Linked DNA regions of Arabidopsis thaliana. The protein of the gene in region 1 binds, or shares a complex with, the protein of each later gene. Each region holds a gene or a part of one and is shown in the gene's direction. Other genes may lie near its edges.

Evidence for each region.
Region 2: TAF15b (region 1) and TAF11 share a complex: the UniProt entries of both Arabidopsis thaliana proteins name them as parts of the TFIID complex.
Region 3: TAF15b (region 1) and TAFII59 share a complex: the UniProt entries of both Arabidopsis thaliana proteins name them as parts of the TFIID complex.
Region 4: TAF15b (region 1) and TAF7 share a complex: the UniProt entries of both Arabidopsis thaliana proteins name them as parts of the TFIID complex.

The regions. Positions count from the first base shown.
Region 1 is NC_003076.8:23,634,227-23,642,875, reverse strand, and holds TAF15b (TBP-associated factor 15B), read left to right. Parts: upstream 1-1,902; 5' UTR 1,903-2,021; coding exon 2,022-2,208; intron 2,209-2,338; coding exon 2,339-2,432; intron 2,433-2,554; coding exon 2,555-3,188; intron 3,189-3,327; coding exon 3,328-3,478; intron 3,479-3,557; coding exon 3,558-3,636; intron 3,637-4,186; coding exon 4,187-4,310; 3' UTR 4,311-4,428; exon of another isoform or gene 4,429-4,580; 3' UTR 4,581-5,461; downstream 5,462-8,649. Other genes in the region: AT5G58480 (O-Glycosyl hydrolases family 17 protein), read left to right, coding at 50-393, 563-1,649; CHX25 (cation/H+ exchanger 25), read left to right, coding at 7,839-8,135, 8,239-8,649. UniProt on the Arabidopsis thaliana protein: TAFs are components of the transcription factor IID (TFIID) complex that is essential for mediating regulation of RNA polymerase transcription.
Region 2 is NC_003075.7:10,950,785-10,957,049, forward strand, and holds TAF11 (TBP-associated factor 11), read left to right. Parts: upstream 1-2,755; 5' UTR 2,756-2,916; intron 2,917-2,994; 5' UTR 2,995-3,007; coding exon 3,008-3,324; intron 3,325-3,394; coding exon 3,395-3,482; intron 3,483-3,570; coding exon 3,571-3,670; intron 3,671-3,752; coding exon 3,753-3,880; 3' UTR 3,881-4,292; downstream 4,293-6,265. Other genes in the region: BAM3 (Leucine-rich receptor-like protein kinase family protein), read left to right, coding at 1-1,687, 1,812-2,140; AT4G20290 (uncharacterized protein), read right to left, coding at 4,375-4,800; AT4G20300 (Serine/Threonine-kinase, putative (DUF1639)), read left to right, coding at 5,029-5,036, 5,501-6,034. UniProt on the Arabidopsis thaliana protein: TAFs are components of the transcription factor IID (TFIID) complex that is essential for mediating regulation of RNA polymerase transcription.
Region 3 is NC_003070.9:1,402,585-1,411,816, reverse strand, and holds TAFII59 (TATA BOX ASSOCIATED FACTOR II 59), read left to right. Parts: upstream 1-4,285; 5' UTR 4,286-4,388; exon of another isoform or gene 4,389-4,611; 5' UTR 4,612-4,632; coding exon 4,633-4,758; intron 4,759-4,858; coding exon 4,859-4,945; intron 4,946-5,174; coding exon 5,175-5,276; intron 5,277-5,369; coding exon 5,370-5,478; intron 5,479-5,759; coding exon 5,760-5,860; intron 5,861-5,936; coding exon 5,937-6,074; intron 6,075-6,161; coding exon 6,162-6,257; intron 6,258-6,582; coding exon 6,583-6,707; intron 6,708-7,067; coding exon 7,068-7,200; intron 7,201-7,490; coding exon 7,491-7,616; intron 7,617-7,704; coding exon 7,705-8,211; 3' UTR 8,212-8,221; intron 8,222-8,376; 3' UTR 8,377-8,732; downstream 8,733-9,232. Other genes in the region: AT1G04970 (lipid-binding serum glycoprotein family protein), read right to left, coding at 194-601; AT1G04960 (golgin family A protein (DUF1664)), read left to right, coding at 1,393-1,632, 1,784-1,865, 1,994-2,061, 2,188-2,289, 2,376-2,465, 2,812-2,886, 2,988-3,020, 3,123-3,200 and 2 more; AT1G04945 (HIT-type Zinc finger family protein), read right to left, coding at 9,166-9,232. UniProt on the Arabidopsis thaliana protein: TAFs are components of the transcription factor IID (TFIID) complex that is essential for mediating regulation of RNA polymerase transcription. Required for proper pollen function. May stabilize the interaction of TFIID with selected promoters.
Region 4 is NC_003070.9:20,627,479-20,633,940, reverse strand, and holds TAF7 (TBP-associated factor 7), read left to right. Parts: upstream 1-4,248; 5' UTR 4,249-4,450; coding exon 4,451-4,565; intron 4,566-4,939; coding exon 4,940-5,073; intron 5,074-5,170; coding exon 5,171-5,290; intron 5,291-5,436; coding exon 5,437-5,787; 3' UTR 5,788-5,918; downstream 5,919-6,462. Other genes in the region: AAE18 (acyl-activating enzyme 18), read right to left, coding at 83-212, 302-570; SCL33 (SC35-like splicing factor 33), read right to left, coding at 1,246-1,588, 1,662-1,790, 1,886-2,056, 2,219-2,254, 2,822-2,899, 3,123-3,265. UniProt on the Arabidopsis thaliana protein: TAFs are components of the transcription factor IID (TFIID) complex that is essential for mediating regulation of RNA polymerase transcription.

The DNA.
Region 1 (8,649 bases):
AATTTCTCGGCCCGACATTATCGTGGAAGTACGAGATTCACTGGATTTGATGGCTCGTCGGCTGTTTCTCCTCCTCCTCGCCGTCACGGCAGGGTTGAGCTTGACGGGAACAACCGTCAGAGCAGTTGGCATAAATTGGGGGACAGAAGCGTCGCACCCTCTTCCGCCTTCAAAGGTTGTAGAGCTTCTGAAATCAAACGGCATTGTCAAAGTGAAGCTCTTCGATGCCGACCCAAAAGTTCTCCGAGCTCTCTCTGGTTCTAATATTGGTGTCACTATCGGAATCCAAAATTCGATGCTCAAGAGCTTGAATGCATCCGTAAAGGTAGCAGAGAGCTGGGTACATGACAATGTCACTCGTTACTTCAACGGTGGAAACAGAGTTCGAATCGAGTATCTTCTTTCTCCTTCTCTTCTGCTTATCCAGTTATATATATATAGATTTAAGATTTTTAAGCTGGAATTTAACTTATGGAATGTGAATGAGTCGGATTTGTTTCAATGCCAAATTGCCAATCTTCTTATTGTGAAATTATCATTAAAGAAAAGAATTGATTTTCAGGTATGTAGCAGTTGGAGAAGAGCCATTTCTCCAGAGCTATGGCAATCAGTATAAGCCTTTTGTGATTGGGGCAGCTATGAATATCCAAAATGCTTTAGTTAAGGCGAACTTGGCAAATGAAGTGAAGGTTGTAGTCCCCTCAAGCTTTGATTCCTTTCTTTCTGAATCTGGTCGACCTTCTTCAGGACACTTTAGGGCTGACCTCAACAAGACGATGATTGAACTCCTCTCCTTTCTCACAAAGCACCACTCTCCTTTTTTTGTGACAATCTCTCCTTTCCTAAGCTTTCACCAGAACAAGAACATCTCCCTTGACTTTAGCCTCTTTAAAGAAACAGCAAAGGCTCACAAAGACGGACGTAAAACCTACAGAAACAGCTTTGATCTAAGCTATGACACACTTGTCTCTGCATTGTTCACAATTGGGTTTTCGGAGGTGGATATCGTTGTGTCAAAGATCGGTTGGCCTACAGATGGAGCAGAAAATGCAACATCACTGACTGCTGAGGCGTTCTTTAAAGGACTGATAGTTCACTTGGAGAAAAAGACGGCCTCTCTCCCGCGTCCTCCTGTTGAAACCTACATTGAAAGTCTCTTGGACGAAGATCAGAGAAACTTATCTGCTGGGAACTTTGAGAGGCACTGGGGAGTGTTCACTTTCGACGGTCAAGCCAAATACAATTTCAGTTTCAACCATAAGAATCAGGTAAACGCGCAGAATGTTCAGTACCTTCCTCCTAAGTGGTGTGTGGTGAACAATAACAAGGACTTGTCAAACGCGTCAGCAAGAGCATTAGAAGCGTGTGCTGTTGCGGACTGTACATCGATACTTCCTGGCGGGTCGTGTTCAGGCATCAGATGGCCAGGCAACGTTTCATACGCGTTCAATAGCTTGTACCAGCAAAATGATCACAGTGCAGAAAGCTGCAACTTTGGTGGACTTGGTTTGATCACTACTGTTGATCCTTCTGAGGATAATTGCCGGTTCTCGATTCAACTTGACACTTCTCATTCATCTTCGCAAACTCCAAATTTCTTTCAGAGCTGGCCTCTCCTCTTATTGTTCCTACTGTCCGGACTCTTTTAAAGTTGTAGTTATAGCAAAATTTTGGTGGATTTTGCCTCTAATTTCTCTCTAATAGCCACATTTCAAAACTGTATTGGGCTACGTAAAAAATAACTGTTATTGGGCTGGGCCTTCGTAAAGGTTAGATGATTATGGGCCTTAGAACCATGTTGTCTTATTTGATAAAAAAAGCAAGTCCAGTTATTTTGGGAAACCGGTCGGTAAAAGATAAGATGTAAAAGAATTTAAGATTTAAGATAAATGCAATAATAAAGTTCCACTATTTTTGAGAGAAATATAAATAAAACGCGAGATTTTTTATTCTACGTCTAAAAAGGCTCTCACACGATTCGTTAAGAGTTTTGGTCTGTTGTTTATCGCAAACCCTAGGTCATGGCTGGGATGTACAATCAAGACGGCGGCGGAGGTGCGCCTATTCCGTCGTACGGTGGTGATGGATACGGCGGAGGGGGAGGTTATGGAGGTGGTGATGCTGGATATGGTGGACGCGGTGCCTCTGGCGGAGGTAGTTACGGCGGACGCGGTGGTTACGGTGGAGGCGGTGGTAGAGGAAATCGAGGTTTGTGATTTAGATTGTTGCAGATCTGATTGATATAACCTTATGATTCTTTAGATTTCTCCATTCCTTGCTGAGCTACTTTTGTTAAATCTTTAGTTTCTCACTATTTCGATGATTCGTTTTGATTTAGGCGGTGGAGGTGGTGGATATCAAGGAGGTGATCGCGGTGGAAGAGGAAGTGGCGGCGGAGGCAGAGATGGAGATTGGCGTTGTCCCAACCCCAGGTAATGATTGCAAATTATTTGGGATTCCATTCTTTCTGCATATGTAATGAATTGAATTAGCTGTTGAATTCCTTTGTGGGAGCATGTTTTGAAATTGTTTACCCTCGAAACTGTTTGTATAGTTGTGGGAACGTGAACTTTGCAAGGAGAGTTGAATGTAACAAGTGTGGTGCACTTGCTCCTTCTGGTACTAGTTCTGGTGCTAATGATCGTGGAGGTGGTGGATATAGCCGAGGTGGAGGTGACAGTGATCGTGGGGGTGGTCGTGGTGGTAGAAACGATAGTGGTAGGAGCTATGAGAGTAGTAGATATGATGGTGGAAGTAGGAGTGGTGGTAGCTATGGTAGTGGTAGTCAGAGGGAAAATGGTTCGTATGGTCAGGCTCCTCCTCCTGCTGCAGCTATTCCATCCTACGATGGTTCTGGAAGTTATCCTCCACCCACGGGTTATGGAATGGAAGCTGTTCCCCCGCCTACAAGCTATTCTGGTGGCCCGCCGTCATATGGTGGTCCACGAGGGGGTTATGGCAGTGATGCACCGAGCACTGGTGGTCGTGGTGGTAGGAGTGGCGGCTATGATGGTGGTAGTGCTCCTCGACGGCAGGAAGCTAGTTATGAAGATGCAGCTACTGAAAAAGTCAAGCAGTGCGATGCTGATTGTGATGATAATTGTGATAATGCTAGAATATACATCTCTAATTTACCTCCGGATGTGACAACTGATGAACTCAAGGATCTCTTTGGTGGCATTGGCCAAGTAATAACACTGGTCTTTTACTTCTGTTGTGTTTTATATCTTGGAATAAGCCTTTCCCTTGCTATAAGTTATTAAGTTCTTGTTTGTGTACATGTTTATTGGTGTGCTGATAAAGTGTGTCTGGTTGGATCTATTTTAGGTTGGAAGAATTAAGCAGAAGCGTGGTTACAAAGATCAGTGGCCCTATAATATTAAGATTTACACTGATGAGAAGGGTAACTATAAAGGTGACGCCTGTCTGGCTTATGAAGATCCCAGCGCTGCACACTCTGCAGGCGGCTTTTTCAACAGTATGTACTATGGAATTGCTGTCTAGCTTAAAATTGTTTAAAAGTTCTGTTTCGTGAATGGTGGTGGATTGTTTTGTAGATTACGAAATGAGGGGGAACAAGATTAGTGTAACGATGGCAGAAAAGTCTGCGCCCCGTGCTCCTACCTTTGACCAGAGGTAGCTGTCCTGATCATTTATCAGCATTCTTTTTTGTTACCATTTAGCTGTTACCACCTGCTCCATCTTATAGGTGTTTGTACTCTAGTTGTTTTAGGCTTTTAGCTTTATAATTTTAGTAGGGAATATGAGTTTTTGCAATGCTAAGTTTATGTTCCTTGTCTCTGAAGACTGTTTGGATCTTGTATCCTACTGGGGATTTGCTTTGTACACTCATCTGGGTATGACAGAAAGGGTTGGGAGTTCGTATGTCATCAAATTATGCCTTAGGTCTATGTTCATGCCATAGGAAATAAATCTATGTAGTTATCTTGTAACCTATAGCTGTGGCTGCTCTTGGTTGTGAAGAGATCTGTTGTTTGTTCATGCTTCTTATAAGCTCCTAGTAATTCCCCATATAAGTTGTATCTTTATCTGGTTTTCCATGCTCTATAAGACTCGTCTTTGTTGTGTGTTGAGTCACTTCATCTTACGTAGTAAGCTGGTTTTAATTAGAGATGTCTGTGTCTGATCTAATAATGTTGTCCTTGCAAACTTGTGAATGTCGCAGAGGTGGGGGTAGAGGAGGAGGAGGTGGTGGCTATGGTGGTGGTGGGGGAGACAGAAGAAGAGACAACTACAGTTCAGGGCCAGACAGAAACCACCATGGGGGAAACCGGTCTCGTCCATATTGAGAGAAAGAGAGGAATGAATGAATCAGCTGTTATGTGTTCTAAGAGTTTTGTGTGTGTTAAGGAGGGAATTTTAGTAAAATGTTCTATGAATCCTCATATTGGAGATACAAAAAAAGAGGTAGGTTTTTGTTCACTTTGACCTTGAGCAAAATTACCCCTTTTTTCTCCCTACTTGTTCTGTTTCTTTGGGGATCTATTATTCATGCATCTCCGGTTTATTTTTAGTTTGTTTTTCACGATGTGAAATGTTTGTTTTTTGTTTTATTGAAGGAAGCTGATATTTAACTGCAAAATGCATTGCAAATTGGTGCTATGATGATTTCAGGTGAGTGCATTCATCTTGATTACTTCTTTCAACACCAGAAGTCCCTTTTTTGCTTCTCTTCCTTCTTTTTTTGACTCTGTTCAACACAAACAAAACAGTCGTATGTTTTCATGTTGTATTGTGTAATGCATTCATTTAGGCAACCACACTTCTCTTTACAATTTTCGGAGTTGTTATCGTTTTTTCTCGCAAACTTCTTTTATAGCAACATGTGTTCCTCGAGAATTGGCAGGAGTGGGGGATGGCTAGGCACTTGTGTCTGATCAGTTGATCTGAAGTATGCAGTGACCTTTCAAAGATCAACTTGATGATTTTATTGCCAACTTCACTCACTGGGGCTATGATTAGGATTAGGGTTTTACAAATGAGTGGCCTTTTTTTGGATAAAAGACGTTGTTAATAAATAGTTAATCGTTCAATCTGGATCCCAAGGACTAAAGAGAAGGGTGTCTCGTAAAGTTCTCTATGTGTATATGTCATGACCTTTTGGTCAAGTGCCGGATTGGCCAACTCTTTAATGTGTTACATGTAACGAAAGTTTATGTTGAAATTATAGGAACAAAAAAGACTAATGCCGAAAATCCCAAGAGAAAGTTTATTAATGACTTGTTGTGTAGAAAATATGGACGAGAGAAAGAATCCAGGAAATTTGGAATCCTGTAACATTAGTTTCAAGATTCCCATTCTCAATTCGACAAAGAGAATCCATCTTCTAACATTGCATATTCACAGCTCAATCGCTGGCTGGCTCTAGCACACGGCGATATTACTTATTTACCATCCCTTTCACACACATATTGGATAATATACATATTCTTAATAAAAGTCCACCAGTAGTCTTAAGCATAAATTTACAAAAAAAAAAAAAAAAAAAAAAAGTAAGGCAGTAACAATGTAATTCTAACAAACTGCTTAGATGTGTGAAATCCAGATATTTGTAAGTTGTAACTTGTAAGACCACACTATTTAATACTTAATGTGTTCTTAACCTCAAATTGACAATACCTGCGATTTTTCTCACTTTCGACACAATTTTCTATATGATTTGAACTTCAACAATTCTATATAAAAAAAGGTAAAATATTTACATGCAAATAATAAACTTACCCATTACCATATCTTGTATACAAGAAGCTAAACGAAGGAGGGAATGAAGTAGGAATCACATATAAGCAAGAAGAAGCTATGGAACTCAGGATGGATAGCGCCAACAGATATACATGTACGCATATACAAAACATACAGCACTGGTGAGCCATGGCGCTATCCCTCCTGAGCTTTATAGCTATTTCTCTACTACTCAATCTGAAATTTACATCCATAGGTATGCATCTTCCTTTACATATGTGTTATAATGTATCATGTATGTTATATGTATTGTAATGTTAAGTACGTATATATATATATAGAGGAGCTTGACCTTGGATCATATTGCTGTATTTATAGTCTCAACTCTAAGCTAAGTGTCCCCATATTACATATTTTGGAAGGTGTACCAATTTTTTATGCATATTCGGCACTTTTAATGCATTCCCATACCCACAATAACTTTATTTCTTTCTTTTATTGTTTACTAAGAAATAGGGAGGTGATAGAGGATAGATTTAGTTAATGTATACTGTATATATCTATAGGGCAATTTGTCAACGAATTACGTCTAATTATAAACTGTTGTGCGACTGCGTCAGATAGGATTTTATGAGTTTTGTTCGACGATGCAAACTCAGCACGGCCACAAGCTAGTCACCGGTTAGACAAGTCCTTGAGATTAAAAGGAAACGAAGGAAATATTTAATGAGATCGATAAGTGAGAATGTATGAAAATAAAAAGGATAAAATGAAATAATCCAGTATGTGGAAGAACGCAAAAAGCGGTGATGCATTCAATATTTGGCGTAGGTGGGATCTCCACTTCTCCTTTATTTCCAAATTTATTATTAGTACGTAGTGACTATTTCAGAATCTTGTAATGTTATCATATCAATAAAATCAATATTTATGTCCACAACAACAACAAAATTTCATGACATCCATTTCATCACAAACGGTTTTCTTGTTTTTGCTTTTGTTTCATATATATTGATTTTATTGTTATTTCTATGTATTCTACATTGATTACGGTAAATGAATTGTGAACTACAAATTATAAATGTATAATTAATAGAATACATTATCTCACACTATAAAAAATAAAATAAAATTATCATTGGTTTAAAACTTTAGAGAAGTGTTTTAAAGTGGAAGATGGTGAGTGTAAAATGAAAATAAAAACGACTAAAAAGACATGTATGAAATGTAGTTTAATATGTAAGAATTCTTTTTAAAACTAATCTTCAAGAAATATAGATCTTGTGTAAAATATATAAAGAGATATGCATGGGAGTTTGTGTTAGCCAGCTACCACGGCCGTACCTTGCACGTCCCGGCGGTCCCTTATGTTATTGCTTCTAAATTCATCCATCTTTTTTTTTTCATCAACTAAACAAAAACTCATCCTATATATAATGGAGAGCACTACATTTATTGCAGAAAGGAGTACAGCAAAATTTAAGGAATGAAGTGAGATTATAATTCTCATCCTTGACCTCACATGTGATTCTTAAAAGAAACTGTAAAAAGTAAAAACAGTAGTATGAAAATAAAGCTAAGAATATCGATCGGTGGTAACATTCCTACATTTCTGTTTTAGTTTCTCATTTAAACATCTTACATTCCTTTCAATCAAAGTATAAACATACATATATAGATTATATATATATTTTTAAATCTTATTTGACAACAACTCTAATTTTAGTCAAAGAGTATAAACTTTCTGTTAGAGAAAAAAAAATGGTTCTCATAAGGTGTGTAACAAAACATATCGTACGTTACATTTTTGATGAATTCTTTAACTCTGATGAAAATATGCGTTTTCAAGAAGAAAGCGGCTATGTTTACGGAGTGAAAAATGTAGATCATGAAGATGAAGTACCACAAAACATATACATTTTTCACATAAAAAACTCATAATGAGAAAATAAAAATAAAGAAAATATGAAGAGTAAGCGAAAACTACAACTACAATTGTTCCCAAAATGACGCACGACCACATCTGTTGGAAAAAACACACATCAATCATGGATCTATCGCCTTCTCTCTGTCTCTCTATGGATGATCATTGTCGTTTGTTTTATGTCAAATATCTGAGAGAATAATCTGCATGCATGGTTAGGTCTTTCCCAAGTGATGGCTGGAGTGCCCTGCCTACCCGTTTTGGGTTCTGGCCAGAGAATCCAACCACCGCCGGAGTGGTCAGCAGTCGTGTTTTCTCAGCCAGACTTCCGGAGGTTTGCCGACAGGTTCACGATAAGCAGCCGTTCGGAATGTTCAAAGGCGAAAATGGCATGAACTACACATTTTCAACCTTTTTGATCGAAGCAATACTCATCATTTTCTTCATCAAAATTGTTTACGTCCTCCTTCGACCTCTTCGCCAACCTCGTATAGTCTGCGAGATCATTGTTCGTATTCGATCTTATATTTTCTTTTACATAGTTAATAAATTTCCATTGATGGAGCTAATTATATTATTTAAGACAAAATGCATGGTTTTGTGTTTTGAAGGGTGGGATGATGATAGGACCGTCCATGTTAGGAAGAAACCGAAACTTCAATTACTATCTGTTTCCACCGATTGCGAATTACATATGCGCAAACATAGGACTGATGGGATTCTTTTACTTCTTCTTCCTCACGGCTGCCAAAACAGACGTTGCAGAAATCTTTAAAGCACCAAGAAAGCATAAGTACATTGCTGCAGTTAGCGTTTTGGTGCCGATTGCTTGCGTGGGGAGCACGGGAGCTGCCCTAAAACACAAAATGGATATAAGATTGCAGAAACCTTCGTCCATTGGAGGGGTCACGTTCGCCTTGGGTTTCACTTCTTTTCCGGTCATTTACACTGTTTTGAGAGACATGAACCTTCTCAACTCTGAGATAGGAAAGTTCGCCATGTCAGTGACTCTCCTTGGAGAC
Region 2 (6,265 bases), on another chromosome or scaffold:
CAGTTGTTTAACCTCTTCTTCAACAGACTACACGGCGAGATCCCTGAGTTCGTATCTGAGCTTCCTGATCTGCAAATACTCAAGCTTTGGCACAACAATTTCACCGGAAAGATTCCTTCGAAACTCGGATCAAACGGGAACTTGATCGAGATCGATTTGTCTACCAATAAACTCACAGGTTTGATCCCTGAGTCACTCTGTTTCGGAAGAAGACTAAAGATTCTCATTCTCTTCAACAACTTCTTGTTCGGTCCTCTCCCTGAAGATCTTGGCCAATGTGAACCGCTATGGAGATTCCGTCTCGGACAGAACTTTCTGACAAGTAAGTTGCCAAAGGGTTTGATTTATTTGCCGAATCTTTCGCTTCTTGAGCTTCAAAACAACTTTTTGACTGGAGAAATCCCCGAAGAAGAGGCGGGAAATGCGCAGTTTTCGAGCCTTACTCAGATCAATCTGTCCAACAACAGGTTATCCGGACCGATTCCTGGTTCAATCAGAAACCTCAGAAGCCTTCAGATTCTTCTTCTCGGTGCAAACCGGTTATCGGGACAGATCCCTGGCGAAATCGGAAGTTTGAAGAGTCTTCTCAAGATTGACATGAGCAGAAACAACTTCTCAGGCAAGTTTCCTCCTGAGTTTGGTGATTGCATGTCACTCACATATTTAGATTTGAGTCACAACCAGATTTCCGGTCAGATTCCGGTTCAGATATCGCAGATTCGGATTCTAAACTATCTGAATGTTTCTTGGAATTCCTTTAACCAAAGCCTTCCCAACGAACTCGGATACATGAAGAGTTTAACATCAGCAGATTTCTCACACAACAACTTCTCCGGTTCAGTACCAACTTCAGGGCAATTCTCTTACTTCAACAACACGTCATTCCTTGGAAACCCTTTTCTCTGTGGATTTTCTTCAAACCCTTGCAACGGTTCCCAAAACCAATCTCAATCTCAGCTACTTAACCAGAACAACGCAAGATCCCGAGGTGAAATCTCCGCAAAATTCAAGTTGTTCTTCGGGTTAGGCCTACTAGGGTTTTTCTTGGTGTTCGTCGTTTTAGCTGTGGTCAAGAATAGGAGAATGAGAAAGAACAACCCGAATTTATGGAAGCTTATAGGGTTTCAGAAGCTCGGTTTCAGAAGCGAACACATATTAGAATGTGTTAAAGAGAACCATGTGATTGGGAAAGGCGGACGAGGGATTGTCTACAAAGGGGTAATGCCAAACGGAGAAGAAGTTGCAGTCAAGAAGCTCTTAACCATAACCAAAGGATCATCTCATGACAACGGTTTAGCCGCAGAGATTCAGACATTAGGTAGAATCAGACACAGAAACATAGTGAGATTGCTCGCTTTTTGTTCAAACAAAGACGTGAATCTCCTTGTTTACGAGTATATGCCTAATGGTAGCCTCGGAGAAGTCTTGCACGGGAAAGCTGGAGTGTTTTTGAAATGGGAAACACGGTTGCAAATAGCGTTGGAAGCGGCTAAGGGGTTGTGTTATCTTCACCATGATTGCTCGCCACTTATAATCCACCGTGATGTGAAGTCAAACAACATCTTGTTGGGTCCTGAGTTTGAAGCTCATGTTGCTGATTTTGGGCTTGCTAAGTTTATGATGCAAGACAATGGAGCTTCCGAGTGCATGTCCTCGATCGCTGGCTCGTACGGCTACATCGCTCCAGGTACATGACTGATTCCTAATACTACTTTCTTGTATCACACGTAACATTCAAACTTAGGATTTCAGTACTTCTAGTTAAAACGTATGATTGATCTTAGCCCATTTTATCCGTTTCTTGAATGCAGAATATGCATATACACTGAGAATAGACGAGAAGAGCGATGTGTACAGCTTCGGAGTAGTGTTATTGGAGCTGATTACGGGTCGAAAACCAGTAGATAATTTTGGGGAAGAAGGGATAGACATTGTGCAATGGTCAAAGATCCAAACAAACTGTAACAGACAAGGTGTGGTGAAGATCATTGACCAGAGATTGAGCAATATTCCATTAGCAGAGGCCATGGAACTGTTCTTTGTGGCAATGCTATGTGTGCAAGAACATAGTGTTGAGAGACCGACCATGAGAGAGGTTGTCCAGATGATCTCTCAGGCTAAACAGCCTAATACTTTCTAAATGCAGTGATGTTATATATATAAGAGACTAAATATATATTTTTCTGTTTTATGTGTTTCATAGAGTTTTGTTTTTAGAATTTGTAATGATGGTTTGGTGGTGATATGAGTTTATATTGAAATTGAGGAGGAAAAAAAGGGTTAGCATTATATCTTCCTATCATAAAGTATCAAGCAAAACTAAATAACATTTGCTAGAAAATTATGAATTATGTGAAAGATTTGAAAAAATAGATAACTGTTCTTTGATTCATTTGGAATTATAAAAATCATGATGACCAAAGAAAAATGTTGAAATCACTCAAGCATTTGATTTAACATATGATTATCCAATATCTATAGAAATAGTTAGCATTTGAGTGTTTTTACTTTTTAGTATCCAATTCACTATCATTGATATTTTTAATTTTGTTGTCTAGCTCGATTTATAACATTTGGCTAGTTGTAAATCGTTATCCCAACATTGTATTCCAAAAAAAAAAACCAGTTAGTTATTCAGTGGTTTTGAACTGAGCCCAGCCCAAATCCAATGATGTGGTTCTCGAAACTTTTTGGGTTGGTTTAACAAAAACCGGTTCAGATCTTTTCTTTTGATCCACCAATTGATTGGACTAAACCGACTTATAACAGTCGCTACACTCCTATAGAAAAGCTTGAAATTGAACACAGTCGATGAATTTTCCTCTCCGCCTGGAAGATTGTGGAGCTCCCAGTTGTTGTTAACAACGGTCTAGAGATTCGTGTCTCTTGAAATTCGATCTGAGTTTCACCTTCAAGGTTCGTCAATGATCCGTAGCAATTTGCTTCGTTCTAAACCCTAATTTGAGATCTCAATTATGTGATTTTTTCGTTTAGGTTTTAATCAGGAATGAAGCATTCAAAGGATCCGTTTGAAGCAGCGATTGAGGAAGAGCAAGAGGAATCGCCACCGGAATCACCCGTTGGCGGAGGAGGAGGAGGTGATGGTAGTGAAGACGGACGAATTGAAATCGACCAGACTCAAGATGAAGATGAGAGACCTGTGGATGTTCGCCGTCCGATGAAGAAAGCTAAAACCTCTGTTGTTGTTACTGAAGCTAAGAACAAAGATAAAGATGAAGATGATGAAGAAGAGGAAGAGAATATGGATGTTGAGCTTACTAAATATCCAACTAGTTCTGATCCTGCTAAAATGGCCAAAATGCAGTGAGTCTTTGTAGAATTTTGATTGTTCTTCATGTTTCTTTGATGATTGATTGTTTGTTGAATTCTTCAGAACCATATTATCGCAATTCACTGAGGATCAGATGAGTAGATATGAATCTTTTAGGAGATCTGCACTTCAAAGACCACAGATGAAGAAGGTATATATGTTATATGATTTGTGGTTATCAACATTCTTAATTTTGTTTCATTGCAAATATGAACCATTTAGCTTTTATGTTAATGCAGTTATTGATAGGTGTCACTGGTAGTCAGAAGATTGGTATGCCAATGATTATTGTTGCGTGTGGTATTGCAAAGATGTTCGTTGGTGAACTCGTTGAAACAGGTAAGCCAGTGCAAAAATTTCCAATGATTTTGTTTATGTGCCAACAAAGCTCATTTACTGAACCTCAATACATTATCTGTAGCTCGAGTTGTTATGGCGGAAAGGAAAGAATCAGGACCTATCAGACCTTGTCATATCAGGGAGTCTTATCGGAGACTAAAGCTCGAAGGAAAAGTGCCTAAAAGATCAGTTCCACGCCTTTTCCGCTAGTCAACAAGAGCCAAAAGAGAACTTATATCAGCCTAAGACTGGGGAATTTACCAATGCTGCTCAAGGATAAGGGTCTACGGCAGGTTTAAGCTGGCGAGATTTGCCTATCAATCTCATCATAAAGGAGAACTTCTTTGGCTTCCCTGGTGGATCATATTGTTCTTTGATGTTCTTAACTTTGTGTGACAACTTTTGTAGTAAATCAATCTTTGGATACAGACCCTGAAATGGCTATCAGTCTTACGGTTTGGTTTTTATTTGGTTTACGTTTCCAGTTTTCATTTTCAATACAAGATCAATCTTTGACTACAGACCACATGGCCTAAAAGTGGCAATCCGGTTTACTAGGTTGGATTCGGTTTCATTTCCGGTTTTATAGAATTCGAAATCAAATAAAATCATTTGTAATCCGGTTTATTTGGTTAAATTTGGCTATACCTAAAAATTGGTTTTAGTATTGATTCGTTTTTGGTCGAACATTACAAGAACTGGGTTTATAAGTTCAAATTCAAATTGTGTATTTCTTCGGCGTGATTGAAAACCGTCGCGATCAGAATTCGGTCTACTGTCAAAATTGGTACGGAGACGTTTTGAATCACACAAGTTCCGGCGAAAGAGGATCTAGTGGGCCTGATAATGGGCCGATCTCGAAACGAACTATTACGTGAAGAGAAGAAAACAAAGTGGGTTGCGAATTGAAAGTCTACAGAAAATAAAAGGACTGGATTGGAAAAATAAAAAGAATAAAAGAAGTTTTGACACAATAACGCACCCACTATCTTTCTCCTTCCCTTCCGCCTTCCTTCTTCTTCTTCTTCTTCTTCATCCTCCTCACTGTTTAACGCAGAGCGCCTCCGTTTCTTCTCTTCTCCTCCTCTCTCTTTTCTCTCTACACAAATATTTTTCCCTTCTTTTTTCATTCTCTTTATTCAATATAATCCTTTTGATTCGCTGGTGATCGGTACGAGAAACTTAGAATCACACGAGGAAGCTGTGTTTCGTTTATCCTCGTTTAATCGGAATCGAAATTTGTTCTGGAGAAGAAATTTAACGAATCATAGATTCCTGATACAAAAAAAAAACTATCACAGATCGGAATCGGAAACGTAACCATTACATAATTCGAATCTGGTTTTCACTTGGGTATAATGATGAGGTTTCTCTTCTTCTTCTTCTCCGTTCTTCTTCTCTCTGTGTTTTTTCCATCTTCTCTGAGTTTTTCTATTTTCCACTGATTTGGTTTTCTGTTGTTTTCTGGATTTCTAATTAGTTTCTATGGATCTGAGTTTGATTGTAAAAAAACTTGAGATTGACTCTAATGTCAAAAACTTTTGATCTCCTCCAGATTTCGTCTTCTTTGGATTCACCAGTTTTTAACTAATCTCAATTTGATCCAATAACCAAATTGTTTTTCGCCTTTTGAACAAAAACAAAATAATCTCAGAGCTTCTCCGTCAAATTCTGATTTGGGTTATTTTCAATTAAAACTCAGAAGAATTTTGAGAAGATTAACTCTAAAATCTCGCATAAAACACAGACACATTTTTACAATTTTTCACAGTTCAATCTTCCTTTTCGTTTTCATGATTTTGATCTAATTATTTTTGTGTTTTTGATTAGGTATCAGAGAGTAAGCCCAGATTGTCTTCCTCTCACAAATGGAGGTAAGAAGCCTTACTTACGACCATCACCATCAAGAGCAACAAACGAAGACACCACCACCACCACCGTCATTACCACAACCTCAATCGCCGGAAGAGGATTTAACGGCGGATCATGCACAACCACCACCAACAACACCTCATCTCTAGACGGAGTCCCCAAAGGATTCCGATTCAGATCCACTCAACAGCAGCAACAACAACAAGATCCTAGTCCTAGCCGTCGCGGCGGTGATGTACTGTTACAGTGGGGACAACGAAAACGATCGAGAGCCTCTAGAGCTGAGATCCGATCCACCACCACCATCACAACCACCGCCGATGATTCTTCGTCTTCTTCAGGTCAAGGTAAGATACAATCAAACAAACCGCAAAGAAGATCGATGAATCCTTCTATGCCACCTCCACCACCAGCTCCGCCGATTTTCTCGGGCCGGAGTACAAACCCTAGAAACGGTTTCGTTATCGGCAAGGAATCTTTCTTCCCTTCCAGGTTTAGCCTCAAATCTTTCTTCATTCAATTAAATTTCCATATTTTGATATATTTACTTACCTTAAATGTTTTAGAATCGAGTTTGATTTGTCTTTTTTTACCTTTAATCGTTTAGATTTTGTTACTGTAAATTAATCCATATGATCGTGACTTCATTAGCTTCCATATATTTCTCTTTTTGTTCATCCATGTTATGTGATAAATAATGTGCCCTTGTTTTTATTTTTATAT
Region 3 (9,232 bases), on another chromosome or scaffold:
AATGGTAAACAGAGAGCAACAGTCACCTCTGATTCCCATATGCAACTATGTTCTAAGACATATAACAATCACGAAACATAAGGATACAAAACAGAACAGAAATTTGTGATTCGCAAGAAAAATCTTGTCTTTCCATTGATTCACAAGATTGAGATGATCAAAACTAAGAATTAGTAAAATTGATCATAATTACCTGAACAGATGCAATACCCTGATCAGATATTTCAATAGGAGGAAGCCAAGTACTGTAAGAATAATGCCAATTCATACTCAAATTACAAGTCGTCCCTGAAGCGACGATGACAACACCTGTCTCACCAAGCTTAACATAAGATGACGCAACGTCAAGCTCGTATATCGTGAGATTCGAGACAACAACATCGATTCCTCCAAGGAACGGGATTTTCATAGATTTCTCAATTCTGGGAATCTGGAGAGGTATAATCGACGCGATAGCTTTGTTAACTAGAAGATTTTTGACGAAATCGAGTCCGTTTTGAGATACGAGAACCGATGTGAATGAATCGGTGCTCTGCGTTTGTGAAGGCAAGAAGAAGAAACTTGGTAATAGAAGAAAGAGAAAGCATCGTCCAACATCCATGGCGGATATTCAAAGCTTTTTTTGTTTTGGTCTCTCTATCTTCTTCGATGAAGAAAACAGGTTAATACAGTGAAGTTGCGTAATGGTTTGGATTATTGAGAAATGTCTAAAATAACCTTAGTCATTCGATTTGCATTGCCTTCTGGGGTAATCTGATTCAAAAGGAAGTGTTTGGGGTGAATACATAAATTGTTAAAATATTAATGTTTCTGGTCAATCAAAGCTAAAGCTGAGGTCTATAGGGCAATAAAAGTATAAATACATATGTAATTGTATATACTGTACATATTAACGTTTGATATGTATATAAGCTCAAGTGGTGTTAAATATTCTAATATGTGTCTAAGGACAATAGTTCGATTAAAATTGGAAGCTTCGGGGGTAAGAACATAAGTTTTGAAAAGTATTTATCTTTGTGGTAAATCAAAGCTAAAATTGAGGTCTAAAGGGCAAAAGGGTGTCATAATTGGTCTCTCGCGGTGGCTTGGCGACACGGAACAGAGAATTAATCGAGAATCTTTTTCAGCTTGTAACCGGAATTCATGGCGATGCAAGCCGGTGTTCAGACCTCTAAGGTCCTTATCCTACTCGGCGCAGGTCTCTTTCTCACTTTGATGCTTGTTTTATTATCTTTGCTTGTTGTAATCAAATTCGATTCGTATTGCTTTGACTCTCTAATCTAGGGAATTGTTTTATGAAGAGTTAGGGTTTGAATTTATCTTGGCAAATTGATTGATCACTTTGCTAAAATGGTCCAGAACTTCTAATCTTCAATCGTTAGTGTAGTTTTGATGGTAATACAGCTTGGATGTAGCAAGAATGATTTAGTTATTCTAGCTTGGATGTTCCATTTAATGACCTTTAATGACACTTGGTTCTGTTTTCATCATGTCCAAGGTGTATCTGGTTCGATCGTATTGAGACATGGGAGGTTGTCTGACCTAATAGCCCAACTTCAAGACTTACTCAATGGTGCTCAAGGAGTTGAAAGCACTCCTTTTAAGTATGACGGTGCACTCCTTGCTGCTCAGGTATTTCATTTTCTTTTGCTCTGTAAGCTTATTTTTCTCATCGATCCAACATAAACAATCGGAATAGAAAATAATTCATCACTCTTTATCACTAGGCCAATACTGGACTCCCCTCTTAGTGACATAATTTTTGTTGTCTCTTGATAACCAGATTCGACAGCTTGCAAACGAGATCAAAGAACTAACTATGACCAATCCAGTTACCATCTTTAATGGAGATTCAAACTCCAGTGGTATGTACAAGTCTTAGTTTCTCATAAAATATTTATGTACTACTTTTGATAATGTAGGAAATGTTTCAAATATGTTTATTTTTTATGAGAAACAGAGAATGATATAATCTTTGCTTTTGCTCTTGTAGGCTATGCATCTTACCTGGTTCCAGCGGCTGCCGTTGGAGCTATGGGGTACTGCTACATGTGGTGGAAGGTGTTTATCTCTTTAAAATCTGTCTATTTTTCTCTATGTTTCATGTGTCTTTTGTTATAGTTTTGTAACATGTGGTTTACCGGTAAACTATATATCATTGACTTCTAAGGTTTACCCACATTGCAGGGCTGGTCGTTTTCAGATGCAATGTTTGTGACAAAGAAAAATATGGCTGATGCGGTTGCCTCTGTTTCGAAACAACTAGACGATTTGTCAGACACATTAGCGGTGAACAAATAATTTTTTTGAGACCTTCCTCTGTTATATATTCTATTTCATTATGATTTTTTGACCTAGTGCATTTGTTTACGCAGTCAACAAGGAAACATCTTTCTCAGAAGCTAGCGACCTTGGATTGGAAGGTGGAAGAGCAGAATGAGACATCTAAAATGATCTTAAGTGATGTAAGGAACCCGTTTTATTTCTCACTTTCTTGTATTGATGCCTTATTTTTTCCTTAGACTTAAGATTAGGATACTTATACATTCGTCTGAGAGAGATCTCCTCTTGTACATTTAACATCTTAGAAGAATTTAAAACACATTTAGGAATTCCAAAAGATTGTAGAGTATTTATTTATTAACGTCCTATCTCTTTGGCCCTGAACTGTTTTTCTTCACATGTACAGTAGAGTCCTTTGTTTCTTTCAAATTACAGCTTGATTCTCATATCTGCGATTTACTCCATCTATGCCTTTCTTTGATATTCATTTTAATGCTAATGCTCACATGGAATCTTGCTTCAATTCAGGTTACTGAGATGAGATCAAGCATTTCGCAAATTGGGTTTGATTTTAAGCAACTTAATGAAATGATTTCTGGAATAGTAAGTCTCATCATTGCCCTCTAATATGCATCATTGCCCTCTAATATGCATATTTTAAAGGGGCTAATATATCTTTACTCTCTTATATGAAATTTTTACAGGAAGGGAAGATTGAAAGTCTTGAAAGCAAACAAGTAATTTGTCTACAACCATTAGATACTACAAACCACTTCACGCTATCAATTTTCTTAAAACTAATTGATCTCAAACAGATATTTTTTTTGTTAAAATTTTAGGATGTGACCCTCTCTGGACTATGGCATCTATGTCAAGTTGCAGGCGTTAAAGACAGCACAAGTACTAAAGTATTTCAGGTGAGTGTTAACTTACAAATTAAGTGAAACGTTTTCTTACTTATTTTTCACGTAGTTATAGGCCTTAATGAAAAAAATCTTGTTTCTGGCTTTGTGGTTTAGGATGTTGGTGAGAGATTACCTATTGATGGAAAACCATCCACTAATACTTCTCTCTCTGTAAGAATGCTACTATACCTTTTTCCATCATATAAATGTGCATTTCCATTCTGTTGACGCAAAAAAGTTGCTTATAGTGAAAAAATTCAACGAGATGGTTGATCTTGAATTTGCATATATTCAAGGCAATCTCTCATCAAGCTTATTCGAATAAAAATTGGAACCTGAAAATACTTGTGGTAGTAGCTGTTATTTGATGATTTCATGTCATGATGTTTCTTTGGCTTTCTAAAACTATAAAACTATGGAAACTCCAGGGTCTGCGGTTTCTGACGGAAGGCAAAGAGGATGCAAATGTAATACACAAGCCGGTTATGGCGAAAGAAATTATGGTGATGGGGGAAAAAACAAAAGTCACTGCAGCGGGAAGAAGCAGAGTTCATAGAGCGTTTCCAGGTGGAATATCTTGGGTACGGGATGTTTCAGGACTATCCTAATATTATTTTGGTTGATATACAAAGAAATTGCTTGTATTCGTCCCAAATTCTGATACTGGGACTGGCAATTATTTTTTCATGTAAAAAGAAGAAAAATCTACATATGTTATTGCATCCACCAACAATTTGGTTTGCCCCTAATTATATTTGGTCTTGATGTTTGTAAAGAAAGAGTGTGATTAAGGCTTTCACGTATGTTGATGTCTTCATTGATTTGGACTTTTGTGCTCCTTTTTCCTTTTGTGTTTGGATCAATTTTGTTTGTGTAGAAAATAGAAAGAACTACCACAGAAGACAGAACTACTGTCTTGAAACATTTGTTTCGTCCTTTCTCGTAGGATTAATTGTCTTTAGTTGGCAGAGAAATAAAATATTTCGCTCTTATTGGGCCTTGGCCCAAAATAGATATAGAGACAGCCCAAATTTAATTTAACCCGAAATAGTCCAACCGGGTGAATTTGACAGCAATTAAAAAACCCGGCCCGGCTTCTTATATTAACAAGAGGCTTGGCATCGGTTAATCGGAGCTTCTTTCCTCTCAAGTGAAGTGTCTGGATCTTCGTCGCTCAACGCAAATCCCTCTCCGGTTCATGTAAATTTCCAACTTATTTTTGTGCTCGAATTTTGGTTAACGGGACAAATTTCACACTTTTACGGAGTATGGAAGCAGCCTTTGTCTTCTGGGCTGTTGAATTGCGATTCATTGTGTATGCCCAACAATGGTTTAATTGGGAGGTTCCAATGATTTTTTGTGCTTTTTTCTTACTTAATATAACCACTGTTGATGTTTCTTCTGTGTCCTTGTATCGCCACAGTGGATAAGCAGCCTGGGGAAGATGAGCATTGTACCTAAGGAAACGGTTGAGGTAATAGCTCAAAGTATTGGGATTACCAACTTGTTACCTGAAGCTGCTCTTATGCTTGCTCCTGATGTTGAGTATCGTGTCCGAGAGATCATGCAGGTTACCTTCTTTTTCTAATCATGTCTTTGTGTTCTTGAGGTGAGTTTTCTGGTATCAGCATATTGATCTTTCTGTACCTTCTCTTTGGATGTCCTTTCAGGAAGCTATCAAATGCATGCGTCACTCAAAGAGAACGACTTTAACAGCTTCGGATGTAGATGGTGCTCTCAACTTAAGGAACGTTGAGGTACAAACTCGATGACCTATTTCTTACTTCCCATTATCTAGAGTTTTGGTTGTGTAAGCTTCCTGGTTTTTGTAGTTGAGTGACAAAGATATATGGTTTCTAGTTTTGAGGTTTGGCTTTACTGGTGCATATGAATAACACCATCTGTTACACATTGCTTTCACATATTTCACTATTGTAGTCAACTGAATCAAAGGCATCTTTTTGAGAGTGATTATATCTATTGCAGCCGATATATGGATTTGCCTCAGGAGGGCCATTTCGTTTTAGAAAAGCTATTGGACATCGCGATTTGTTCTACACTGATGACAGAGAAGTGGATTTCAAAGATGTAAGATGTTGGAAAAGCTGGCATGTTTTTTTTGTTTCAGTTAAATTCTTCATTTTGGGTTCCTTATGTTTTCAAGAAATGTCATGATTCTAGGTGATCGAAGCCCCGCTGCCAAAAGCTCCCCTTGATACTGAAATTGTTTGTCACTGGCTGGCTATTGAAGGAGTGCAACCAGCTATACCAGAAAATGCTCCTTTAGAAGGTTTGTCTCTCAATCTTATGCCCTGGGCTAGAGTTGTAAAGTCATTATATGAATTTTTCAACATGAAACAAATATTAGTATGTACAATGACGTTTCAGAGGTGTATAAACCTCTTTCTACAGTTACCCCGTGTTAAGTGGTGAGCTTACTGATGTTACTGAAAGATCAAAATACATATTTTCAGATCCATCTGTATTATTGTTTTGCGGATCCGCATGAGCAAGAAATCCTTGTTCTTTCCTATCTTGACTATATTTTTCACTTGTTTGTGTTGTCTCTAGTCATTAGAGCACCTGCAGAAACCAAAATCCATGAACAAAAAGACGGACCTCTTATTGACGTTAGGCTACCAGTGAAGCATGTACTATCTAGGGAACTTCAGGTATATGGTGCAGTCTAAATATCATAGGGTAATATCCTTACATACATAGGACTTATCTGTTGTTCTCTCTTCACAGTTATACTTCCAAAAGATTGCTGAACTTGCAATGAGCAAGTCAAATCCTCCTCTGTATAAAGAAGCATTAGTGAGCTTGGCCTCAGACTCAGGACTTCATCCTCTAGTTCCATATTTTACAAATTTCATTGCTGATGAGGTAACATTATGCACCACCGAGGAACTAGTGTGAACCAATAAGACCCACGTTAAGTTTTTGCAGTTTTAATTTTCTCCACTTGTGCAGGTTTCAAATGGCTTAAATGACTTCCGACTCCTGTTTAATCTAATGCACATTGTTAGAAGTCTTCTACAGAATCCTCACATACACATAGAACCTTATGTAAGTTTTCTCTGGATTATCTTTTGCCACTATCTAAAAAATTGTAGAATCATGTAGCTCCATTTTCTTTAGGCTTCTGATTTGGGTTTCTTCAAGTTCTATATTAGACATATTCTATATAATGGGTATCAAATGGTTAGTGGTAGTGTTTGTCCGAGGTCTGCAAGCTCGAGTGCTTAAGTACTCTCAGTCTGCTTGAAATAACAACAAGTTTTGCCTTTGATCTGTATTGAGATTATGTAAACCAGCCTTGGGATAATGAGTTGGTTGTTTGAGCAATGTTTCATAACCATGAAGCTGAGTGAACTTTTTCTTTTGGTGCCAGCTGCACCAGTTGATGCCATCTGTTGTAACATGCCTTGTATCAAGAAAGCTTGGAAATAGATTTGCTGACAACCACTGGGAACTCAGAGATTTTGCGGCAAATCTGGTTTCACTGATATGTAAAAGGTTCATTATTTCCCTTTCATGTCATGAACTCTGTGTTTGTTTTGGTTGATTGTGGGGATCTATACATGATTTCTTACTGGAGCTAATAATGAAATTCTATAAGGAAATATCATGAGATGATTATCCATAGATGTTCTGCTAAGTTTATCTTGTTTGATCTCTTTACTATTGATATCTACTTCTTTTTTGCTCGAGCTGAAAAACAAATGGTTAGATCTATATTAACAACAATTAGTAATAACTTGCTATAGTCTTCTTCATTATTTAAAAGGGTACATTGTCTCGCACTTTTATTTTACATATCTCACCTTTATATTCTTTTAGCATCTGAAATCCTGTGATTTTAATAAAATCTTGCAGGTATGGAACCGTTTATATAACTCTTCAGTCTCGTCTTACCAGAACTTTAGTCAATGCACTGCTGGACCCAAAGAAGGCTTTGACTCAGCACTATGGTGCGATTCAAGGATTAGCAGCTTTGGGGCACACTGTTGTAAGTCATTCCTTGACCTTTCAGAAAGTTTGTGCATGCTATTTCAGATATCACCGAGAAATAATGTTACCCAGCTTGTCCTTCAATCTAGGGACTTTTCAGAATCTGAGATACAATTTGATTTGCCCATACCATTTTTCCGGGTTTGCTTATTCATTTTATTGGGAAATTAGGACTTTTATCGTCTTAAACGGCTACTCCAGTGAATCAGATACCCCTGCTACCAAAAACTTTAGCACAGCTATCCTGCATTGTTATCTGTTGTCATCTGAATGTCATATATTGTGTAGGTACGCCTTCTTATTCTATCAAATCTCGAACCATATCTAAGTCTTCTCGAACCTGAATTGAATGCTGAGAAGCAAAAAAATCAGATGAAGATCTACGAAGCTTGGCGTGTATATGGAGCCTTGCTGGTTAGTAAACACATCCTTGTAAAATTTCATCTTTGTAGAATTCTCAGTGGACAATCCTTAGATGGACTTGCCCCCTTTTTCTTTTCAGCGTGCTGCAGGCTTGTGTATACATGGCCGGCTTAAAATCTTCCCACCTTTACCATCTCCGTCACCAAGTTTTCTCCATAAGGGAAAGGGAAAGGGAAAGATAATCAGTACTGATCCCCACAAGCGGAAGCTGAGTGTAGATTCTTCAGAAAACCAATCACCGCAGAAAAGATTGATAACCATGGATGGGCCAGATGGTGTACATTCACAAGATCAATCTGGCTCAGCTCCAATGCAAGTAGATAATCCAGTGGAAAATGACAATCCGCCACAAAACTCTGTTCAGCCATCCTCATCAGAACAAGCCTCTGATGCTAACGAATCTGAAAGCAGAAATGGAAAGGTGAAAGAAAGCGGCAGGAGTCGGGCTATTACCATGAAAGCAATCCTTGATCAGATATGGAAAGATGATCTTGATTCCGGACGGCTATTGGTGAAACTGCACGAACTCTATGGTGATAGGATTCTTCCCTTTATCCCTTCTACAGAGATGTCAGTATTCCTCTAACCAATAAGAGGTGAGCTATTCTATTCCCCAACTTCCTGATATTTACCTCATCGATATAAAACTCATGGTTCCAGTCGTGAATGCAATAAATATGTGAAATCAAAAGAATAATGATACTCAATACATTAATGCTAATGAAATAGATGTTTGATGATTTTCAAGCAGAGAAGGAGGCTTGGAGAGATTAAAGCGCCGTCTGGTTGGCATACATAAACTCATTTAGATCCGTGCCATTGTTCTCAGGTCAACTCTTTAGTTCTTCTTTTTAAGCTTGAGGGATTTCAAAGTCCTTAGGAGCCTGCAGAGTGGGTTGAGTTGAATTGAACCGGTTGCAATGTATATATTAAGAGAATTTTAATGATTCCGTAGTGGACTTATTTGTTTACTCTCAAATGTAATCCATGAAATAATTTCTCTTCAAATCTGTATGATCTAGATTGCAATTTTTGATATTGTTGTTTACATGTATGCTCTCTTGCTTATTTACTCTTTACATATAATATCCGTTCATAGATTATATCTATTGTTGATCCTTCTGGTCCGTTGCTAGAAAACTTTTGGGCAAACTACAAGGTTTGGTCTGTATTACATTGACTATAAAGAAGATCTGAAAGACAACAAGATTAATTTATGAGGATCTATAGGAGGATAAGACTGAACAAAAGTTTCGGAGACATTCTTAAGTTAACTATCTTGTATGTAAACAATCAAGTTTGCTACAAACCACAGAACAGCCTAGTAATCTGGTTTACTACAAAAGAAATACCTGTTGATCAAAGCCCAGACCGAAAACTTATGACCATCAGTGCTGTGGCTTATTGCATTCCAGTAAAAGCTTTGGCTATTACCAAGTATAGCTAATGTGCTCGAACAAGAGAGCTTCAGGCATGAACATAATCCTCAAAAATGTTTCACAGAGAGTAATTCCTTTTTGCCAGAACAAGACTATGACCATCATTCGACGATTTCCCCTTCTTCTAAATCTAGTCCATCAGCGATGAAATCAGTATCTAAATTTTGG
Region 4 (6,462 bases), on another chromosome or scaffold:
CTGAAAATGATGTTTACATTAGACCAAACCAGAGCTGCGACAAAGATTCTTTTGCTCGACAACATTCAACGTTGATGCTTACTTCAGGGTGTTCAACTGAGAATCTCCGGAAAAGTTCAAAACTTTCAAGAGGGTTCTTGTATGAAGGACCAAGAAGTCTTGGTCCGTGATATTCCATCAGCTTCCCCAGATTGGTGGACTTTGACTGAGATCTAAACACACACAAAGAAGAAATTGAACAGACAATCAGCTGTATTTTACAGATAAATATCAGAATTTCGAACAAGTTCATGAAACGCACAGAGAAGGAAACCAATAGAGAGGAGGGCCATGAACAGAGGAGTCCCAGTTTGAATAGACAGAGTAGTAGAGAAGCTGATGCAGAGGATGTGGATGCCATGGCTTAAGCACACTCTCATCTACCAAAGCTTTCCATTGATCTCTTGGATCAGTCTCTATAGCCTTTGTAATCACATCGCTCACCAATTTGTCAAATTCCTTGGCGTCTTCCAAAGTCAACCCAGCTTTGACATAATCATCGCAACTCAATTCGCCTATGCTCTTCCACATCTCTTTCTATCTCTCTATACAAGTTGTTGCCTTTTTTATAGTTTAAAGTTTAAAGCTTGTCAATGGTGGTAGACTGGTAGGTAGATTCGGTGGACGAGAATGCTCCAAATGGCGATTTGTTTTGCTTTTAAAACAGAAAAGGTCTCATCTTTATGAAGAAAACCCAACTCCTCAGTTAACATCGGACCATACTCTTTGGCTCTGCTGAGTTCTTGATTCATCAAAGAAACCAATTCTATTCAGAATAGCAATTAACGTTAGTATTACCAAAACGATGACATGTTCAAAACGACGGCGAAGCCATCCGTCTTCCGCCCAGTGCAACATATCCAAAACGCGGCTTTTGATGTGATTAATGGATCTCTTGAAAATGCTTTGGTTGATACGACGGATAACAAAAACTAGAGCTGATATATTCGCAAGTAATCCAAAAAGCTTCCTCCATGAGCTCCTTGTGTGGTTGACCAATGTTGCAACTATCATAATAACCTCAGATTATATCTTAAAGAACTTATAATAACAGTACCATGTTCCCCACATGTTCCATAGATCAAAACATAAAAACCCAAAACATAAAGTTCTCGGCTTTTCAGTATCATCTTAACTTCGTCTTAGGATAAGGGTACAAGACACAACCATAATCTAGAGAAGACTAGCAAAAGAGTGACGAATCAATCACTGGCTTGGTGAACGGTCTTCGTCATACTGGCCCCCATGCGGGCTTTGGCTCCTGCTTCTGGCGGGTTCAGGAGTGTAGCTTCTTCTGCTTCTCCTCGGACTCCTGCTTCTTCTAGGGCTACGGCTTATGCTTCTTCTTGGGCTAACGCTCCTATTTCTTTTTGGGCTTGGGCTCCTGCTTCTTCTTGGGCTACGGCTTATGCTTCTTCTAGGGCTGGGGCTTAAGCTGCGGCTCTTACCTCTGACTGGAGTTAAACTGCGACCCCTTGAGCCATCAGAGGCAGGTGAGCGCGAGTATGACCTCCTCCCATCATATCGCTCTTCCCTGGGCGAGATAGATCTGTGACAATAGACAGTGAGCATACAAGCGTGGAGAAGTTTGTAATTGAGCTTAGACAGAAACATATAGAAACCTTGGGTGATGTCTTCTAGGGGGAGGAGAATAATAGTCACCGCTCCGTGACCGAGATCTACCACGTCGAGGGGGAGGAGAACGAGAGCGAGAGTAGTAACGAGGTGGAGTACGTCTTCTATCCCGAAATCTGCTGCTCCAACGAACCAAAAAAAGATGTTAAATATTGAGTTTTTGATATTTGACAATAACCAAAATAGTTCAAAAAGAGAAAGATTCATGCACCTTCCTCCACCACGCTCCCTTGCTCTCATTTCAGTCGGTTTCTTTCTGTTCTCTTCTGCAAACACGACAGTCAACTCACGGCCAAGAAGAAGATAACCATCCATGTGATGTTTTGCATCAGCAGCATCAGCAGGGTCCATAAATTGAACGAACCCAAACCCTCGCGGATCTCTGCATTCAAAATGTAGAACAAAAAGATCTCAGACTAGAAACCAAACATACAAAATGGCGAGGAAGATGTACCACTTTATAACAATCCTGTTGAAGGACAACTGGCGATATGATCCCCTGCAACCGAAGATATCAGTAAACATGAAAAAAGCAAGCACTTGCCTGCTAGCCTTGCAAGTGTCAGTACAAAGATGACTTCTTGAAGACTTGATTCATCTTCACATAGAATACAAACTCAACTTCACTTCAATTCTTCACTACCATATAGAACATCTTCATAAGAACTCTAATTACTTCTTTGATGTCTTCAATTCTTTAGATTCACTGCTAAACCTCAACAACTTCAATTAACTCACTCATAGTGTGTTCAGACATGGAACATATCATCATGTATCCTTTTCCTTAAGCGACTAAAAACTATGAGGTCTCACCAGGTACTAAATTCTAAACGACTAATCCACCTAACGACACCGAAAACTAGTGGTTTAAGACCACAAGTATGCTCACTGTCTATTGTCATGTCACAGAAAATTACTATCTGAAAAATATGGAGCCTAAATTTAATTTATGAAATCAGTTTTTAAGAAGATTCTCATAAGGCCCTAGTATCCATGAGAAGACACAAAGAGATGACCGAAAGAAAAAGGAAAGGCAGATAAACGTAGTAAACAAATCAAGAAAGAAGATGTGAAAATAGGGATATTTTCTAATCAGAACATAAGTAAAAATCAAGTGTTGGTTGTCCTATTTACAAAACATGCTCACCCGGTATAATAATCCCTTGGCAGGTAAATGTCCTTGACAGGACCAAACTGCTCAAACGACTTCCTGAGATCTTCTTGCCTGAAGAAAAGGACAAGGAGTAAGAAGAGAATTACAATTTGCTAAAAGCCAAGAAATGAAGATACATTGACGTCAACTTTTTGAAAACCTTTACAGTAAAGATAAGAGAACATCATGCCAAAATATGCTAAGAGGTGTCAAGTCTTCTTGCTTAAGAGGTGTGCAAACAATAACATCATCCACAATGGCTGAAGAAAATAATAGAGAAGTCAAAAGTATGTACCTGCAATCATGGCGTAGATTGCGAACCAAAAGACTGGTCGGGAGGTCCCTGCTACGACCTCCATATCGGCCTCTAGGGCTTGGGCTTCGACCCCTCCTCCCATAACCCCTAGGTGGTGACGGAGTGTAGCTCCTTCCCCTCATTGAGTCAAGCTTCAATCTCTCTATCAGTCAGTCAACACAAACTAGATTAGAAAATACACCAAAAGAGGTTGGATATTTAAGAGAGAAGAGACCACAAACACAAGAGCTATAACACCAGCGTCTAAGAGAACTTTAAAGAAGCAATCAATCTAGAAAGATCATATTTTCTAATTGAATAGTAAATTATATCAAAATAAGATCACATGCAATTCAGGTAGAGATCGAATCAGCTCAATTTCAAAAGATAGGAGCTAAGAAACGTTATATGTGAATAGGCACAAAAGATCACAACTTTCGTCAAACTTACTTAAGATGAACGATTCAATCCTTTATATCGATGTATAGACATAATAATTGCCTGATCTACAGTTTTTTCCGTCACGGGATCTTTCACCGGACTCAAAAAGTTGTACGGGCAACGAAGTTGTTTACAATTGAAGGAATCGAAGTCGGAAAAGCCAAGTTTATTCGACAGAGAAAGAAGAAGATACGGGTATATACGGTTGGGAAGAAGAGCAAAATATCAGGGATAAGACTTACCGGTGAACGAATCTCGGTGGTGAGGAACGACGGAGAAGTGATGCTGCAAGAATTGGAGAAGATTGATCAATGAACGACTTATTTATTAGGGTTTCTTTATATTATTTACGTTTTACATTTAACCCCCTCAAAATTATTTTAAAGTATTAAAATCCCCTTAAAGTTTTCTATTTGATAGATGCTCCATTCCAATTTCTGGTAATTAAATTATCTTCCTTTTTATTATCATTATACATTTATACTTAGTGAGATCAATTATCTAAGAGGAACTAAAAATGTAAAATTCAATAGAATTAAATAGCAAATTGGTGATTTTTCACCAATTGTTGGGTTCTGTTTGTACCTTTTATAATTATTTTGGTCAAAACATAAATCTTGAAACCTTTAGGGAGGGAAATAAAATAATAAATTGTTAAAAGGATACTTCTAGAAGGTTTATCTTATAATGTCTCTCTCTCTCTCTCTCTCTCTCTCTCTCTCTAACATAACAAAGAATTCGTGTTTCAGTTCAATAGATTCTCGTCTCTTTTCGACTTACGACATCAACAGACCGAAGTATACGTATTCGATACGATCTGCGTTCGCGAATTCACGTTTCTGGATTGATTAAGAAGAAGAATTCAAGTCAAGCTGTTGGTATCTACAATGGAAGAACAGTTCATACTTAGGGTTCCACCGTCTGTTTCAGAACGAATTGATCGGCTTTTAAGCGAGGATGCTTCTACTTCCGACGAAATCCCTTTGGATTTGTTTTTTTCAGGTACCAATTTTTAAAGGGTTTCTCTCTTTTTTGGCACATTACATCTGGGTTAAAGTTTCATCCTTTTTCTTAAATTTATGTCCTTTAGTCGTCAATCAATGAAATTAGTGTCTGGATCGTTTCGGGGATTGCTCCTTGTGTCACGTGATGAGTTCTTGAATGTTGGTTTGCCCAAAAGACATTCTTGAATCTGATTAAGGATCAAAGCTTGTGATTTGTGTCTCCTGGATCAGCTTAATGTTGTGAATTGTCTGTTTTGTCAAAGAAGCCAAAAGACATTCTTGTTGCATCATTATAGTTTGTCTAGAAATCCATTTGCATATTGTCTCTGGAGCAAACTTGATACGTAATGTTTGTGTGAACTGAATTTGCAGAGGATGGGAGAAACGGGACGTTTATGATTGGAAACGACGAGTTCCCGGCTTCTCTGCTTGATCTCCCTGCAGTTGTTGAGTCTTTTAAAACTTATGATGATTGTGCATTAGTCAAAACTGCTGATATTGGGCAGGTAAAATCAAGTTACTTGATTCATCTTTTACTTATATGCGTTAACTTCTGTAATTTTGGACTAAAACTCAATATGGATGCTTTGATTTGGCACACAGATGATCATGGTTAGGGAGCCTGGTGATCCTGCGCCTAATACAGTTGAATACAGACATGGTCTAACTCCTCCAATGAAGGATGCTCGAAAGAGGAGATTTCGTCGAGAGCCTGACCTTAATGTAATTTTCATTTGTTGTTATCTATCCATCAACATTGTTTCACTAATACTTGTGATTATGATTGAAAGTCTGTAGTGAAACGTATCTTTTGGAACTCCAAAGTTCTTTCTATTAAGTTAACATATTGATTTGCCAAAATGTTGCAGCCGGAGCTTGTACAGCGGGTTGAGAGAGACTTGTTGAATATATTGAGTGGCGGAACGGTAGAAAATGTAAGCTTTTCTTTCTATTTTCGACACATGATGTGTCTATATTTGCTCCTTGGATTTAGTAACTTCATTTATTTGAACTTTTTTTGGTGTAGGTACATGAGCAAGAGGAACCAGCTACGAACGAGAATGCTAGTAATGCAAGTAAGAAAGTATCTTCTTCTTCACCTACACCTGTTGAAAAGCCTGAAGCTCCTGAGACAGGCACTAGTAATCCAACAGGAGTTGAACCGGAGAGAAGTGAATCAGAAGATTCTGATGATTCAATGTGAGTTTATTATTATATAAAGAGATTTTTCTTACGAAAGCTTAGAGTTTGCGCAAGTCCTGTCTTAGAAAATCATGGATAATTATGTCCCCATGATTTGATGATGTCTTGTTCGACCTTTTTCAATGGAAAAGTTGTTTTGCGTTCAAACTACACCAAAGATTCTGTTTATTCTAGTTCAATTTCGGTTATTTCTTGAAGACAGTTTCAGGAATGAACCAAAGATTGATAGTAAAAGAAAAACCTTAGACTTAAAGAACAAGAACCAAGACATTGTTGATGCTAAACCTATCAAAAGCTGGAATCTAATCCAAACACCAACCATCGCCTTCATTAAACTTTAAGGTTTTTCTTCCGGGTCATTTTCTACAATGCCAAGAATAAGAAAAGAAAATTGACACTCTGCCTAGAAATTGAGATTCTAATTATCGGTCCCTCCATTTTCTATCCTGAATAGTGAATACGTGCAACCATGTCTACCTTTCATTACATACACAATTATGAATTATGTCATTTTTCAAACAAAACAACCCGAAGCTAAAACAAATGTGTAGAGCCTCGTAAGTAGTTGCCGTCACGATCTTCCTCTTCATCTTCTTCGTGTTCTTTCTATAAATTCTTTTTAGTCTTTGTATCAAGAAGCTTCCACAGCTTTTATAAACACTCATTGAGAAGAAAGAAAAACGTCAAGGGAT